Linked DNA regions of Nothobranchius furzeri. The protein of the gene in region 1 binds, or shares a complex with, the protein of each later gene. Links are inferred from orthologs where the notes say so. Each region holds a gene or a part of one and is shown in the gene's direction. Other genes may lie near its edges.

Region 1 (8,374 bases):
CGACAACGGCAGCACCTGCTCATGATTGGTAGCTCTGAGAGCTGCACGTGGAGCTCCGGCTTCAAATAGCCAAAATTTGCAAAGCGTCGTGATCCCCCATCTGAGCTTCAGCCGTGGTCTGTGGAGGAGCCCGAGCTTGTTCTGGTCATCATGGTGGAGCAGTTTGTAGGAACCTGGACTCTAGTCTCCAGCGACAACTTTGATGAGTACATGAAGGCAGTGGGTAGGTTCAGATGCTCGTCTGATTGGTTACAATGGCTTTTAATTAGGAATGAGTGTTAACTGATGTGAACATGTTGCGTCTTAATTAAAACTGTTTTTATTGAAGGGATGAGCTTTGCCACTCGCCAAATGGGCAACTTGGCTAAACCTAAGCTAGTGATCAGCCTTGCAGCTGATGGGGTCATCACGATGAAGGCTGAGAGTACTCTGAAGACCGCAGAGGTCAAGTTTAAGCTGAATGAAGAGGTGGATGAGACGACAGCAGATGGACGCAAAGCCAAGGTCAGCACTCTGCATCAACTTCATCTTTGCACCTTTTAAAGTTTGATAACTTTCTAACCTAAGCTGCTTTACCTGAAGTCCATCTTCACTCTGGAGAACGGTAAGCTCATGCAGAAACAGTCCTGGGATGGGAAGATGACCACGCTGGAACGGGAGATCCAAGATGGGAAGCTCACTGCTGTGAGTAAACCGTCACCCTCTCTAGGTGATGGCCCTCGGCACCATGACTGTTCCATCTTGAATAATGAAACTTTTTTTTTTTAATGCAGAAATGTGTCATGGACGACGTGGTCGCTGTGAGGACGTACGAGAAAGCGGCATAAGAAAAATGCACTGAGCTGTTGAACATGAAAATAAAACTTGAACCATGAGGTTTCTGTTCGTTTATTTATCAAATGTATTTTTGTCTGAAGTGGAGCTTTGGCAGCTTAAATGTATTATAATGTTTGGGCTTCGTCCACGATTCCCGAGAATCTGCCCGTTGTTGGCGGTTTATGAACGACATGCTGACGACCAGTGAAGTGTGGTAATTTGCTGCTGAAAGGGATCCAGTTGGAGGCGTTTCAAACATTGCCCAAGTGCACAAAGGCTTTCTGTTGAAGCACACAACATGAGGGCCTTATGACATGGATTTGAGTGAATTGGGGGGGGCAGGCCCAGTTCCTGTTGGAGGTTTAGGGCTGTGACCCCCGGTTTGTGGGAAGCCTCTTATCCACGATGCACAGACGCAGCTTAGAGCAGGTTTGTGGAATTAGTCTCGATTAGGGTTCTTTGTAGAATTGGGTCAAACATGAATCAACGTTAGCAGCCAGGTGGTCTGAATCAGAGGGATGCATTTAAGTCTTTCATGTTCCGCACCGATGGAGCAGAGACCGTTGACTTATTTCCAACTAAAACAATGAACGGAGGATTACGTTTGAGTCGGTGCAGACTTGCTTTGAAATGGCTTTATCCATAAATACAATCACTGCCTCAGCTCTTGTATTCTAAACCATTGTGGTCATGAATGAACCCATGTCTTATTTTAAAATTCAGCCATAAGGTTCCAGGTTCTAATAAGGATAAATGATTTATGTGAGGACTAGTTTTATACGTATGTAAATAATCCATCCAAACTTGTCCACTAATCCTGACTAAATCAGTCACAGGAAATCACTGAACGTTTATGCAGCACTTCCTGCCTACAGACAACATGGCTGCAGGAATAATCTCATTCAAATCCAATAGTCTTAAGGTGAATCAAAAGGCTGTTCCTCCCATATTTTCAGCGCAGGTAAATAAGCGTAAACAAGTAAAGGTTTACCAAGTTAAAAGAACGACAAGCTGAGGTTAGATTTTGCAGAATCTAGAGGGAGTATAAATCCCAAGATGGGAACACCTAAACACCTAAAAAGCCCTGGATCATGACACCAACTTGTCTTTTTGTTGTACGTTAGTGGAGAACTTGAAGAGCTTGCTGGACAAGAGTCGCTGTGTCGGAGCTGTATTTTTAGATCTGAAGAAGGCGTTCGACTCCGTAAACCATCAGATGTTGTTGTCCAGATTGACTCAGTTTAATATCTCCAGTCAGGCGCTTCAGTGGTTTGCCTCATATCTCTCACACAGGAAACAGTTTGTGGTGTGGGATGGGGTTAAATCTCCATATTTAGACTGTGATACAGGAGTTCCTCAAGGATCTGTTCTTGGGCATTTATTGTTCTCTCTTTTTATTAATAACTTACCTGAAGTCTGTCCAGACATATTTGCTCAAATGTATGCGGATGATGCAGTTATATTTACGCAAGCAAACAGTGTCCAGCAGGTGGCAAAAGATCTTACAGCTGCTTTAGCATTAATGCTTAGCTGGCTGGAGGACTCATGCCTAATGTTGAACACCTCAAAAACTGTCTGCATGTTTTTTTCAAAACGCCCCTTAAACTAGAAGCAGTCAAATATATTCCTGGATGGAGTAGAGCTTGATCTAGCACCAGAATTTAAATATCTTGGGGTAATTCTAGACCCAACATTATCCTTCAAGAGTCATATAAATAAAGTGTCCCAGGTACTTAAATTTAATAATCTAAATTTTACTCATATACGTAATAATCTAAATATGAATGTTGCAAAAACTTATTTTTACTCGATGATCATCTCTCATACGGACTATTGTTTGACATCCTGGTCACTTGCTTGTCCAACAACACTTAAAACTAGTGCAAACATTTATAAAAGTTTAAAATTACTTGACAAAAACCGACTTCCCACCACCATTGTCATGTGTTAAAAAACATAAATTACTGAACTTCACTAACTTAATGAAACTTAAAAGAGTCTGTTTAATATATAAAGTCTTACACTCCCTTGCTCCACCACCACTAAAGCAGTTCATTAGGCATAAAGAAAGCTCAAACAGGACTACACGAGCTACAATTCGAGGAGAAATGTTTATACCACATAGACAGACATCTTTTGGGCAGAACGTCCTCTGTCAAGGGTGGCCATCTGTGGAACAGTCTTCCTCAACCCATTAGAGAATGCTCGACTCAAGGCAAAGGTTAAAAACTGGTTATGGACAAATCAAGTGTGTGATCATGTATGAGTTTTATAGTTTTAATGTTTCATTTGTGAATAGAATGGTGTGTATGTGTAAGTTTGGTGAAGGAGTTTTTATTATGAATGAATGATGAATTTTTATGAATTATTATGTCTTTTTATGTCAACAGATGGAAATTAGAATTTTTGGCTATAATCTGGCATGTTTACATTCATGTAAGCTGCTTTATGTTCATTAACATGCACTGTCCAAAATAAACAAATAAATAAAGATAATGCGGTCAAACTGAAACTGTAACAGCGAAACCCTGACCTCCTGTGGCCGTGTCTAGTAGTGCAGCTACTGATTGGACTGTACCACTATGTGCTGAAAAGCGGGGGAGGGGCTGAAGTTCTCCTGCTAAATAAATGCTTTATTAAAAGTTTTCACCTTATAAGCTTTTGTATATCAGCTGTTAACCTCTCATCAAATATGTATAATCGATAACTATTTGTTTTCACTTCTGTTTAGCTTCTTTCTAAATGATTTGGCATCAATGACGTTTTACGACGTTACGGTGCTTGTAAACATGGCGGACATGAACAACAAAGCTGTGGAAGTGGATGAAGGAGAAAATAAACCTTCTGGTAAAGATGTAATCCGTGGTTCAGACAACCAGAAGAAACCTTCCGCTGACGGTGGAACCACAGCGGAGTACTGCGAGAAGCTGCAGACATGGATGTGGCAGTACTACGCTGGCTATGTGAACTGGCAGAGCTGGCTAGCGGCGTCGGCGGTGTCCTGCCCTTATTTACAGCCACCCAGCGGAACCCCCACGGCTGGTGACTGGCATGCCGGCCCACTCGGGCTTCCGTTGTTGCCGTATCCACCTGCGGTCAGCCGAGCGGGTGAAGCCCCCGTCGGCGCTGCCGCGCAGCAGCACCAACCGCCGCCTCAAGCTAACGGAAACGCGCAGAGACCGGGTAAACGCTGCAGCTGGTTCATGTCCAAACGTTCACTTGTGACCACACACCCAAACATGCTCTTCGTTTAATAAAAAGTAGGAGTTACGGTACGGTTCACTACGGGCTGGGATAAGACTGAAAGCTTTTCAGAAGGCCAAATGTATTATTTTATAGTTTGTGACCTGAACGCAACACGAGTAGTGAGTGGCTTTTGCGGCCGGGTTATGACGTCACACCAGGACAGCGATGAATGAAACTTGTGAAGTGAAATAAAGACAAACCGTTGATGAGACATCTAAAGTGTTCACTAAAGCCACGTTTAGCACCTTCTGGAACATTCTGTCGTCGACTCTCTTGTTTTTATTCAGGTTAAACTCCAATTATGACTCAGATGATGACTGAATCAGACCGCGTTGACACTAGTAAGGTTAATGTGACGTTTGTGTCTCACTTTTGGGAAAATAAACCTTGAACGTTTGGTTTCTCAGCCTCTGAAGGACTAAAACTTACCGCTGTGTCTCGCTTCCACCAGGGCGGGAGTACAGCATCCCCTCTCCTCTCCAGAGACTCATGGCGGAGATGGTGGACTTCTTCATCTTGTTTTTCATCAAAGCTTCTATAATCATCAGTATTATGCATCTGAGTGGAATCAAGTGGGTTAATTAGATTTGGTGTAAACAGCGTTGTCATGACAACAGAAACACCATGACCATAACATTTGGATTTTTTTGTCTTTTCCATTGTTTTTAGGGATGTTTCCAAGTTTGCCATGCATTTGATCGTGGAGGAGATCGACGAGGACACGTCGATGGAGGAGCTGCAGAAGATGATGCTTGTTGCTCTAGTGTACCGGATCTTGGTGTGTTTTTATGAGGTGAGGCTCACTGCCGGTTTAGACTCAAGTCTGTGTTTTAAACGTTTTAGGAAGACTCGAGGTGAACTTTCACGCTTTTCTCCTGTCAGATTGTGTGCATCTGGGGAGCAGGAGGTGCCACGCCAGGGAAGTTTCTCCTCGGACTCAGAGTCGTTACGTGTGACTCGTCGGTTCTGGTTCAGCCCAACAGGGTGCTCGTGGTGCCAGCCACTAACGTCTCTCTCTCTGCGTGAGTGGCTCGTTTATGTTTCAGGGAGCTGTCTAAGGAGGCGGTTGGGAAGACTGAACTCTTGTTTCTGTCCGTCCTTCCAGATCAACTGTCCGGGCTTTGAATAAGAACTTCTCCATAGCCTTCTTCTTCCCAGCCTTCATCACACTCCTCTTCTTCCAGCACAACAGGACTGTGTATGATATGGTTGCCGGTACCATCGTTGTCAAGCGATCCAGAGCCAGATGACGCAGAACGGGACGCGTAAAATGACTCTGATGTTTTAGTGAAGCGGCTCCCAGAGCCACTGCTGTGTTCACGCGTCGCAGCAGAGTTCAGGCGTTTGCTGGGAGCCCGCATCCGTAAGAACTGCTTCCGTTCATCGTGACCAGCACTGTTTTTCTGCATGCATGTCCAGATAATGTTTCCGGTGTCTCCTCCTGGACCAACAGGAAGGATGATGGGGATTTAGCCCGTTTTCGGCACAAGTTGCACCTTCACTTCTGTGTGAGGCGAAGGGCGAGTGCCGCCCGCTGCTCAGTATTTAAGCCGCTGATGATTTCGTATTTCACCCCCAGTATCTGGCCGTTTCCGCCGGTCTCCAAAGCGGACGAGAGGTCGTGTAAAATGCAAACACGAAAAGTTCTTTTCTTGGAAAGGTGTGCATAGATTTAGGTTTGATTTGATCCGCCCTGTTTAAGGCTGAGATGGAGGCACATTTAAAGGTTTTTCTCTGTAAGCCGAGGTGTATCGGACGCTAAATGTTAACCGTTTATGTATTTCATTAGCATTTCTGAATGTTCTCTGAATAAAACCAGGCCTGTGGCTCTGAAAGCATGAACTCTTGTGCATTTATACTTTGTGTGAGTTACACGGGCCACGTGTGCTAAAGCAGCACACGTATGGTTGGTTATGTGAGGAATTCTGTTTCCACGTGTTTTCTTCTCACATTCATGTTTTATTTGTGTTTCTAGATAAAAGATTTCCAACGTGCTCTTAGCTTATCGGTTTTGGTTCAGGTCCTGCAGATTGCAGCCTTTCTCCTATGAGTCTAGAGATGTTCTCCACCTTAAACAGCTAAAGCAGCAGGACATCTTTAACTGTCCCACTCATCCTTCTAACTGGGAGTCTAGTCGCCGACTGGTTCTGGGATGCTGTAGCTGTTTGTGTCTCAGCGTCTGTGATATTTGCTGCTATGAAAATGGACACAAATGTTTAAAGAGACAAAAATCATTTAAAATCATAGCTGTTCTCATGTTACACACGTCTCATGTGAATCAGGGCTGTAAGTACTTCAGACTGACGCTCTATACTCTCTCAGCAGTTATGAATCATACCTCATTAACAGTTTTTGAACTCTTAGCCGGTTGCTGTTTAAAGAGCAAGTCACCCCCAAATCTACTTTATTCCTGAAAAACTAAATGCGTGTCTAATCGTGCTGCAGACACGTGTAGTCAATAGTTTTGCACTTTAATGCATTTTGATTATGATTTTGATCTCCTGATAATAACTTTTTGCTTTCCTTGATATCGAATGTGCTACTGCTAGTTTACCCGTTTAATTATAGATCCACTAGGATAAATACAATAAAGTTTATCTCTCACCAAATAGAATATTTACTAAGAAATCACAATGTAACTATAGAAACACTACTTGGTGTGTGTGCACGTGTGTGTGTGTGTGCTCTATCTTCTCGATCCCCAGTGAGTCGTGGAGGATGGCTGCTTATACTGAGCCAGGATTCTCTGGAGGTTTCTTCCTGTTAAAAGAGAGTTTTCCTCTCCACTGTCGCTGCATGCTTGCTTAGTATGAGGATTGCTGTAAAGACTCTGACACTAGTCAGTGACTCGATGCGACCTGCTGGGTTCCTTATATAGGAAACATTATTTCGTATTGGCTTAATGAACTGACCTGAATTGGAATGTTTATTATGTGAAGTGCCTTGAGACGACTCTTGTCGTGATTTGGCGCTATATAAATAAACTTGAATTGAATTGAATGGAATTAAGCTTTTAATGTTCTGCCTAAAACTGTCAGTGTTGTGCCATTGTCAGGTAAAAACTGCACTGCAGTTGAACTTAAATCTGCCATCGCTATTGGCTAAGAGGTACCCTAGAACGTTAGCTGGTACCATATGATGTCACAATGTCGTTGTGAGCCTGTGTGTTTGTTAGTGGCTCCGCCCCCTCGATCTGCCAGGCGACAGAATTTGTTGCATTTTTTAAACAGGAAGTGGGAGCGGAGTAAGAATCTGGTAGGGGTGACTTGCTCTTTAAGCACGAATTCTTTTTGAATAAGCAAAAGATAATTTGGTCAAAACAAAAATGGCTGCTTGCAGGTCTAAGTTTATAAATCACGACCTTCAGCTGCAGGTTCTGACACGTTAAACTGATCTCACAATGCAGAAGGAATCAGAGTTACTAACAGGTGTCCTAACCTACGAAGGTCCTCTCGGGTTTGTCCAGGTTGGACATGAATGCTCCGTTTTCGTCTCCGCTGAAAGGAGTTATGTTTGTGACCGCGTCCCACGCTGGATGCCAAAAGTATCAAACAGATAAGATGAAAAGTGTGCAGAAATGCAATAAAACGATCCAAATATGAACCGTAAAGAAGTTCTACCTGCAGGTTATCAGATGAAAATGTACACCAGCTTCATGTGCAAAGAGGAAATAAAGTATAATCCCATGTTGGGATTATCTGCTGGGCGTGGGAATGAAGGAGGTCTTGAGTCGGGTTGCCCTGCGGTTTACATTCCCGTGCCTCCAGTCTGAAGGTAAACGTCCATGCTGGGATGGTGGGGTCTGTGATGATGACTTATGCTCTGCACAGAGGGCTGTGGAGTCCTGCTAATCCTTAGATTTCTCTATAAATCAGTTTTATTGTATAATCCTGGATGTTAAAGATCCGACTCGTTTATGTATGGAAGCCCTCAAACACATTTATCGTCAGCAGATCTCTTAGTTTGGCTCCATCTACTGTACGTTTGTCACTGCCACTCTTCACCTCGCTGCAGCCTGTTTGCTTCATTTTAGGTTAAAACATTTACATTTGATCTGTGAGTCGTCATCAGAGAGCCTTTAGCATCATCAGATCTTCGAGTAAAGGCATTTCTCTGCATAGATTCATACGTTCAGCCTCAGATGGTGCAGCGATTACAGCCGCAGCCCCACATGAGCCTGGCATGCTGCAGCAGAAACAGGAAGAGCATCCCTGAGAACCAGTAAATGTTACCAGCATGTGGAAAATGGCAGATTAGCTCAGAAATCTGATGTGTGCTCCAGCTGTTAGACTCTGGCTTGCATCCAGATGAG
Region 2 (7,917 bases), on another chromosome or scaffold:
CTTCTCCTTCTGACTCAGCTCTCTACCCTCTCATTCACTGGGGTAAACCCCAACGTACAGGCACCAAGATGGGGGGCAACTAGTATGCCCACCCCTGCTCGGCGCCTCTCAGTGGGAGCAACTCCAGACTGGTAGAAAGTCCAACCCCTCTCAAGGAAACTGGTTCTAGAGCCAGAGCCATGCGTTGAGGAGAGTCTGACTATATCTAGTCGGAACCTCTCAGCCTCACACACCAACTCAGGCTCCTTCCCCACCAGAGAGGTGACACTCCATGTGCCAAGAGCCAGCTTCTGTAGCCGAGGATCAGACCACCAAGGTCCCCGCCCTCGACTACCACCCGACACACACTGCACCCGACCCCTTTGGCCCCTCCCACGAGTGGTGAGCCCATGGGAAGAATATTCTTATTGGTTTATTGAGCCTCTGTTGTTAATCTGTTGTTTTTGTATTGTAAGTAGCAAATTCACAAGGTGTGATGTTCCTTCAGACTCCCAGAAGATGAAGGGATGATCAGAGAGATGAAAGGGTGCAGTTAGCTGATAAGACCTGTCCAACCATCAGGTGCTGTGAGATAAATGCTTAGTTTCCATGTAAAGTTAATGATTACTGATCAAGACCGTGTAACCTCTGGGTAATTCGCCATGTGTGTTTATATTTGTGAGCTGGCTCGGGCTGTGTTAAAGAACATGAACCTCATAAACTAACTTGTTTGTGTTTTTTAAAGGCCGTGTGCGATCAGAGGCTGATCTTCGCTGGCAAACTGCTCCCAGATCATCTACTCATCAAAGAGCTCTTCAGACAGGTCTGTATTCAGATTTTATTTTATTATTATTTTTTTTTTTATCCAAGTTCGTCTAGATCAGTGGGGTTCAATTCTGGTCCTGGTGCGCTGCATGTTGCAGCCATCCCCCATCTCCAGCACACCTGAATTACCTGTTCTGTTTGTTAATCACGCATGTAAATCAAACCAGGTGTGTTGGTGAAGCTAAACATAGAAAACAAACAGGTAGTAGCCCTCAGGGACCAGAACTGAAAAGCCCTTGTCTAGATTCATCTTAACACCCACCTGAATATCAGGTTGAACATATTTACATCAAACCGTTCACCATCACAAATGAACAGTTTTCAAACATTGCAATTATTTAATGTCTCTAGAATACGTTTATAAATCAACCTCTTCTGATAAACAGCCTCTAATTCCCAAATCCTCAGATTCCCGTTAGTTTAATAAATGTGGGACAGGATAATATTTCATGGATTGATTGTTATGGAGGTTTTCCGGGTCAGACTCTACTGTTCCATTTGGATCGGCTGTAAAACGACACCAGCGAGCTGACGAAAATGGGACAAATGGGTTCCTCTCATGTCTTTGGGTCAGCTACAGAGACCAACCACGTTTTTAGCACCGAGTAGTTAAGCAGATGAACCCGGGTTTACATTCGCAGGCTAAACCAGCGCCTGTTAAAGCTGTAGCCCAGCTTAGAGGAGACAACACGGACACTCGGCATCAGCAGAAGCCGCCAAACTACATACAAATAGAAGTAAACGCCTGAAAGCCGGCGTGGTGGTTTAATGAAATTCTCCATTTGGTTTGTAAATTTTCTTTCAGGAAACGAAACGAGCGCCTGTGCTGAGGTTGTTTGTGTTGTTGTTTCCTGCAGTAATCCGATAGATCCGGTATTTGTTAAATAATTCATAATATATCTGAACGAAACAATATTTGTTTGTTTTTAACAACCGAAGCAGCAAAAATGCAGACTTTAGGTTTTGCTATAACTTTTTTTATTGGGAAAAAAATAGATTTGGTGTCATGTACTGCGATTTTTCAACTAGGTTTTATTTTAAGGTGACCCTGTCCTGACTGTTGGACTCATGTGACCCGTAGCCAACATGGCTGACGGTCAAACTGTGTGTTGTGTTTACACTGTTCTGTCCTGTAGCTGCGGTTCAGCTGAACCTCTGTTAGCTCAACTGAACCTTTTCTGTTCATCTTGATGTTTAGCAGACTGGCGTCATTCACACGCTGCACCTGGTGTGTGCGATGAGGAACCCACCTGAAGGAGCGCTGAGAGCTGGCGCCAAGGTGAGCCTTGAAAAGCCCGAGTGGAGTTTTTTATTTTTTAAGTGATGCGGCTGAGTTTGGTGACGGATCACCATGTTTCTTAAAACTCAGAAGTTTAATGAACCTTCCGCCGCTTCTTTATGACACATTAAAGAGCAAGTCACCCCCTACCAGAGTATTACTCCGCTCCCACTTCCTGTTTGAAAAATGCAACAAATGCTGTTGCCTAGCAGACCGAGAGGGCGGAGCCGCTAACAAACACACACAGGCTCACAATGACATTGTGACATCATGTGTGTAATGATTTAATTTACATGTTATTTAATGAGCCATAAGACACAAGATTCCATAGCAAATATGAAATCAACCTCATGGATCTGTGGGTGCTGTTTAACCAGAAGATTGGAACTTTTTATTGCAGGGATTATGTAACAGCCTCGTATTAATTCAGAGACAACAGAAGAGAGAGTCAAGTTTAAAAGTTTAAAGATTTATTACTAAACAAATTAAACTAGACTAATTTTAACACTAAATGTATGGTGTAACTAAGGTGAATGAGACGGAGCATGGTGTAATGTGGAATGTTGCTCAGAACCAGCAAATCCAAAGAAACGATTAGTTCTGATGGGAACTGAAGGTGATGTCTTCACGTTAAGCTTTGGTTAGGAGATTCATAAACACATTCAACGCCGTTCTGTCGGTCTACATACCCTTAGCGGAAGTCCCCGTTAGATCAGGAGGTGTAGAGGTCCAGCTTGACCTTTATGGAGCCGAAGCCTGTAGAAACAGCTGCGGCAGCTAACCACCAGTCTTTAGATACTTCCAGGTCACGACAATTTGTTGGCATCTAGCGAGACCCAAACCTGGGTCGTGATGGTTCAGCTTTTATTCTGAAAGGAACCGTTGCAGCAGGTGGAACAGCAACAGATTTTATCCAGCTTGTCGTTGGTTCTTTCGGCTGAAGAGGAAAGTTACGGATTGGCCACTCCGACAACTTCTCTAGAACGCTTTGAACTGGTGTTAAAGATGACGTGGGCATAGTTTTATACTTCGGATGTTTTGGTTTATGGTCGAATGAAAAGATGACAGATTTACCAAACACCACCAAAACCACGCCTCCAGCAGATCTGGCAGATTCTGATTGGATCAGTAAAGTAATGTGTCATGTCTTAACGCTACGTGAGATCAGTCCTAGTGGAAACATTTAAAGTCATATTACTTATTATATTCTATAGGATTATAATAAAGTAATTAATATTTTCATGTCACAGATTGGTTCACATTTTATTATTGACTAACACTTTGTTTGATTAGCTTATTAAAAATAGAGTTATTTGATTTATTAAAAGGAGAGAGTCCTTTCTTCATTCTTCTCTTGAGCTGGAAAGAAGCAGTTTATAACAAATGCATGAGACCTTGAGGCCGTATCTCATGCAGACTAGTTCTGTGTCAGAGGAGAGGGGGAAATGACTTTTGGTGGAAAACAGTCATTTCATACCGTTACATATGGTACCAGCTAACATTCTAGGGTACCTCTTAGCCAATAGCGATGGCAGATTTAAATTCAACTGCAGTGCAGAGTTTTTACCTGACAACGGCACAACACTGACAGTTTTAGGCAGAAAATTAAAATTTTAACTAAAATGCACTAAAGTGCAAAACTATTGACGACACGTGTCTGCAGCACGATTAGACACACATTTATATAGTTTATCAGAAAAAAGTTGATTTGGGGGGTGACTTGCTCTTTAAGCAAATTGGCAGTTTCAGTCTGTTCTGGTTTTTTCAACCTGAACGTCTTTATTTTAATACAAATACTAACTTGAAGTAAAAGCTCACGTTTATGAATCTATTGTGAGTAAAATGTTGTGCAAACGTGAACTGTGAAGTTTTTATCCATTTTTTAAAATCTTAATATGATTTTATTAGCTTTAGGATAGGGTTTTAAAAACAACGTCTGTTTTTTTGTCAGAATCAAAACGGAAACTATTTAATAAGCAAATGTAGGACATGTGAGAGCAGCAGATGTTCTTCCTCACCGCGTCCTTCATCACCAACCTGCTGTGAAGCACAACGGTTTCAAGATCAGTCACTAAAGATAAATAAATTAGTGTCACTCTGCTCAGTTTTAATACTTTAAGTCTTTTTGTTTGTCCTGATAAAATAAGTCTTTACATATTTGTCTCGCAGTTCTGGTTTTCTGGTGTCGTTCTTTAAATTCTGATTTCCTCTGCAGACCAAAGAGGCAGATCAAGCACGTCCTTCTGGTCTGAGGTCTTCTGCAGCTCCGCTGGTTCAGAACCCGAGCACGCCAGAGCTGAGGCAGAGGAGGCAAACTTCGTCGTCGTCGTCTGCTTCTCCAACCCCAGCATCTCCACAGGAAAGTCCTGCACGGCCCACTCCGACCACGTAAGTGATGTGAATAACAGACAGCAGGAAGAAGCTGCATGAAGGGTGAATGTTCAGCTGCTTTAGCAAAATGCATCAATGTGCAGCTTCTTACTAACGCTTTAGGAGGAGTTTGCTCACCGATTTTGTAGTTGATGATAGAAACGAGCTTTTCCTGGTCAAAAGTTCAGGTTTTGTCTCTCTGCAGGCCTGGAGCATCACAGCTGACACACCCAGCCTTTCCCCACTTCTCCCTGTACAGCCCTCAGCAGCTGCTGTGGCTCCAACACGTCTACGCCAGACAGTATTACATGCAGTAGTGAGTGTTCACACACACACACACACGCACGCACTAAAGTAGTCCATGGTATTCTCTAAATCCGATTTTCCGTCCACAGCCACGCAGCTCTGGCAGCAGCGGGGTCTGCTCCATCAACACCTGCAGCAACCTTTGGTCCGTACCCACATGTCCCCGCCCACCAAGTACCCGTCCCAGCTCCCATAGCCAATCAGAACCCCATCGACAACCTGCCGGCGAATCAGAACCCCGTGCAGGACGCCGCCTTCATCAATCCTGGGGAGGCCAACCAGAACATGCGTATGAACGCGCAGGGTGGGCCGGTGATGGAGGACGAGGAGGACGTGGAACGCGATTGGCTGGACTGGCTGTACTCGGCAGCGAGATTCGGCGTTCTGCTCATGATCGTGTATTTCAACTCCAGTCTGAGTCGCTTCCTGCTGGTGATGAGCACGCTCTTCTTCATGTACCTGTGAGTTCAGCCAGCTCCACCCAACAGAGGGTTGGTTGGTTGTATAAAGTTAAAAACAGACATTAAAATGCAAAGTATGTAGTTACGAACATGCATTTCTCACTGAATATTTGATTCAGCTGAAGAGAAAAATCTTGGCTCAACAATCATAAAATCCATCAAAGCCATAAACCCAGATAAGGTTTTTTCTTTAACTTGCTGACGTTTCGTTTGCGGCTGCGAACTTCCTGAGCTGGCGCTGGTGGTGGCGTCACTTTCTTCTCCGTTTATCCGCGTTGTAAAAGAGATTACAGTAGAAGACAACGACATACTCATCTCACATGACGTCACATCTCTGTTCACAAAAACACCAACCCAAAAAACCAAAGACGTAGTAGTTAACAGAATCAGACAGGACAAGACTTTACATAAAGGAACAACCCTCACAGCAGACGACATAGCACAACTGATAGGACTGGTAGCTAACTCCACTTACTTCACATACGACGACACAATATACAAACAACTGGAAGGCTTCGCCATGGGTAACCCGTTATCAGCCACCCTGTGCCAGTTTTTCGTGGAAGACCTGGAGCAAAAAGCCATAGCCACTGCCCCCCCCCCAAACTGCTAAATGAAACTATGGAAACACTGCGTAGATGACATACTGGAAATCATACCAAAAGGACAAACGGAAACACTAACACAACCAGGGCTGCAACTAACGATTATTTTCATAATCGATTAATCTGTCGATTATTTTTTCGATTAATTGGTTTGTTATTGTTTAGCTATTTAACCTATTCAAGTGATGGATACATTTCAGTTAAGAAAAAGAAAAGCATAAGAGAATTGTGCAGTTGACTGCAATCGATTTTATTGCACATGAACACAGTCAGCGGTGTAAAATGAGCTAAACGGTGCAAAATATCAGTCCAGAAAAATTTTTTGGCATCAAAATTTAACTTGTAACTGCTTTTAATGATTGAGTGTTTTTATCATTGTCCTTAAGTTGTAACAGTTTTTATTTTTTGCTGCCTCTTGGCCAGGACACCCTTGTAAAAGAGGTTCTTAACCTCAATGGGTCTCTATCCTGGTTAAATAAAGGTTAAATAAATAAAAAAAAATATATATATAAGAGGTAAATTCCATAAAAAATAATGTAGAATCTAGAATAGAGTTTGTAAGTGTATGCATTGCTGGGGGGTGAGTGTCTTGTTCCCCATGTAGTTGTCCATCGTTGCTTGTTTTTTTTTTTCTGCATAAAAAACACAAATAAACTGAAATAAGTACACATATAAAATAAAACAGCACACACACTACAACACTAAATCAATATTATATTATTTGAATTAATTAACAATATACAGTGATCATTTATTTTGATAAAAATGTGTTGTGAGGCGTTTTACAGCGTTAGATAGTAAAACAGCCTTTTAATAGTAAAAAAAATGACTTTCTGAATTTCTCCTGTATTTACTCTTCTGTTGTTGCCTTTTTCCTTCAGACACACCGTTGGCTGGTTTCGCTTCAGAAGGCCAGCAGCTGTCCCCGGGCCCAACCTTCAGCAGCCTCCCGAGGTCCAGCACAACCAGCAGAACGAGGACAGGAACCAAGCCCTAAATCCAGTAAGAAACCGGGGTTTTACTCTTGTGAGGAACAAGGTGATCTTTAAATTCTAAATATCAGCTGTGGCTAAAATAAACTTCTCTTCAGGCTGATGAGGTGGAAGAACCTGCAGCAGAAGGATCAGAGGAACCAATGGCAGCCGTCTTAGTTCCTCCTCACAGAGTATCGCTGATGTGGACGGCCTGGGTGTTCTTTAAAACCTTCTTCTCCTCTCTGATACCTGAAGCTCCTCAGGGTCTGGCCCACTGAGCAGCTTTCCTGTAGTAAAGCTTGCTGACGTGTTACCAGCTGCTGTGATTCTGTTGTTAGAGGAAAACCACATTACCGCCTTAAAAAAGCAGCGGTTTAGTCACCAACAAGGACCTAAACCTGGTCACCAGTCCAGGCGGGTAACAAACGCTGCTCTGGGGCGTTTCTGCTTCATCACACAGCCTTACAGGAAACAGGAAGTGACTAAATGTGCACCTGTTGGGTTTCAACCACTTCCTGTGAGGTTTATGCACACACTTGTGTTCTGGTTTCTTTAGATTAGAGGCCTGTTTTCCAACCGTCTCACGCTGGTGGCTTCCTGAGAGAAACGTGGCAGCATCTGTTAGAGTAGGGCACGTGTTGTTTATCCCTGATGGTTCAAAGAAAACATTTTAACAAGGATAAATATCAGAAAAGCTAAACTTTGCTGTCTGTTTAGCGCTTTAATAAAACGGCTGATTAGGCAGAACAAGGAAACCGGAGCTGGAAGCGATTCAGTTTGATTCTTAGTTTTGTGAGTTAATTTGTGACCAAATGTTCTTCCAGGTCAGATTTTAAAAGCAGAGTTTTGTAAATAAATGTGTGCACAAGGCACTTTACAGCAGTTATTTTACAGAGTGGAGAGGTGACGTAAGAGAATGCCTTTGGAGGGTAAATATTCAGTAAAACTTGCAGGTCGGGACACATTTTATTTCCAAACAGAAGGTCTTTTGTGGATGCTCCGGGCAGTTTGGTCTCATCAGGATTTTTTCTGGTTACATATTTCATTAACATTCCAGAATGAAGCTAAATGATGAAACGGCTCAGACTTCCTTCGTCCTGCCATGTTTGTTCCTCGGT

Evidence for each region. Proteins that work in one complex are often made in the same cells at the same time.
Region 2: protein FAM8A1 (region 1) and herpud1 share a complex: the UniProt entries of both Homo sapiens proteins name them as parts of the HRD1 complex. The link is inferred for Nothobranchius furzeri from reciprocal best matches to the Homo sapiens genes FAM8A1 and HERPUD1.

What each region holds. Positions count from the first base shown.
Region 1 is NC_091745.1:80,667,079-80,675,452, reverse strand, and holds protein FAM8A1, read left to right. Parts: upstream 1-3,426; 5' UTR 3,427-3,572; coding exon 3,573-3,999; intron 4,000-4,491; exon of another isoform or gene 4,492-4,513; coding exon 4,514-4,634; intron 4,635-4,731; coding exon 4,732-4,855; intron 4,856-4,944; coding exon 4,945-5,084; intron 5,085-5,167; coding exon 5,168-5,312; 3' UTR 5,313-5,904; downstream 5,905-8,374. Other genes in the region: myelin P2 protein, read left to right, coding at 151-223, 329-504, 583-684, 774-827. UniProt on the Homo sapiens protein: Plays a role in the assembly of the HRD1 complex, a complex involved in the ubiquitin-proteasome-dependent process of ER-associated degradation (ERAD).
Region 2 is NC_091744.1:85,518,080-85,525,996, forward strand, and holds part of herpud1 (homocysteine-responsive endoplasmic reticulum-resident ubiquitin-like domain member 1 protein), read left to right. Parts: intron 1-724; coding exon 725-802; intron 803-2,002; coding exon 2,003-2,083; intron 2,084-4,298; coding exon 4,299-4,471; intron 4,472-4,658; coding exon 4,659-4,769; intron 4,770-4,848; coding exon 4,849-5,220; intron 5,221-6,706; coding exon 6,707-6,827; intron 6,828-6,915; coding exon 6,916-7,077; 3' UTR 7,078-7,917. UniProt on the Homo sapiens protein: Component of the endoplasmic reticulum quality control (ERQC) system also called ER-associated degradation (ERAD) involved in ubiquitin-dependent degradation of misfolded endoplasmic reticulum proteins.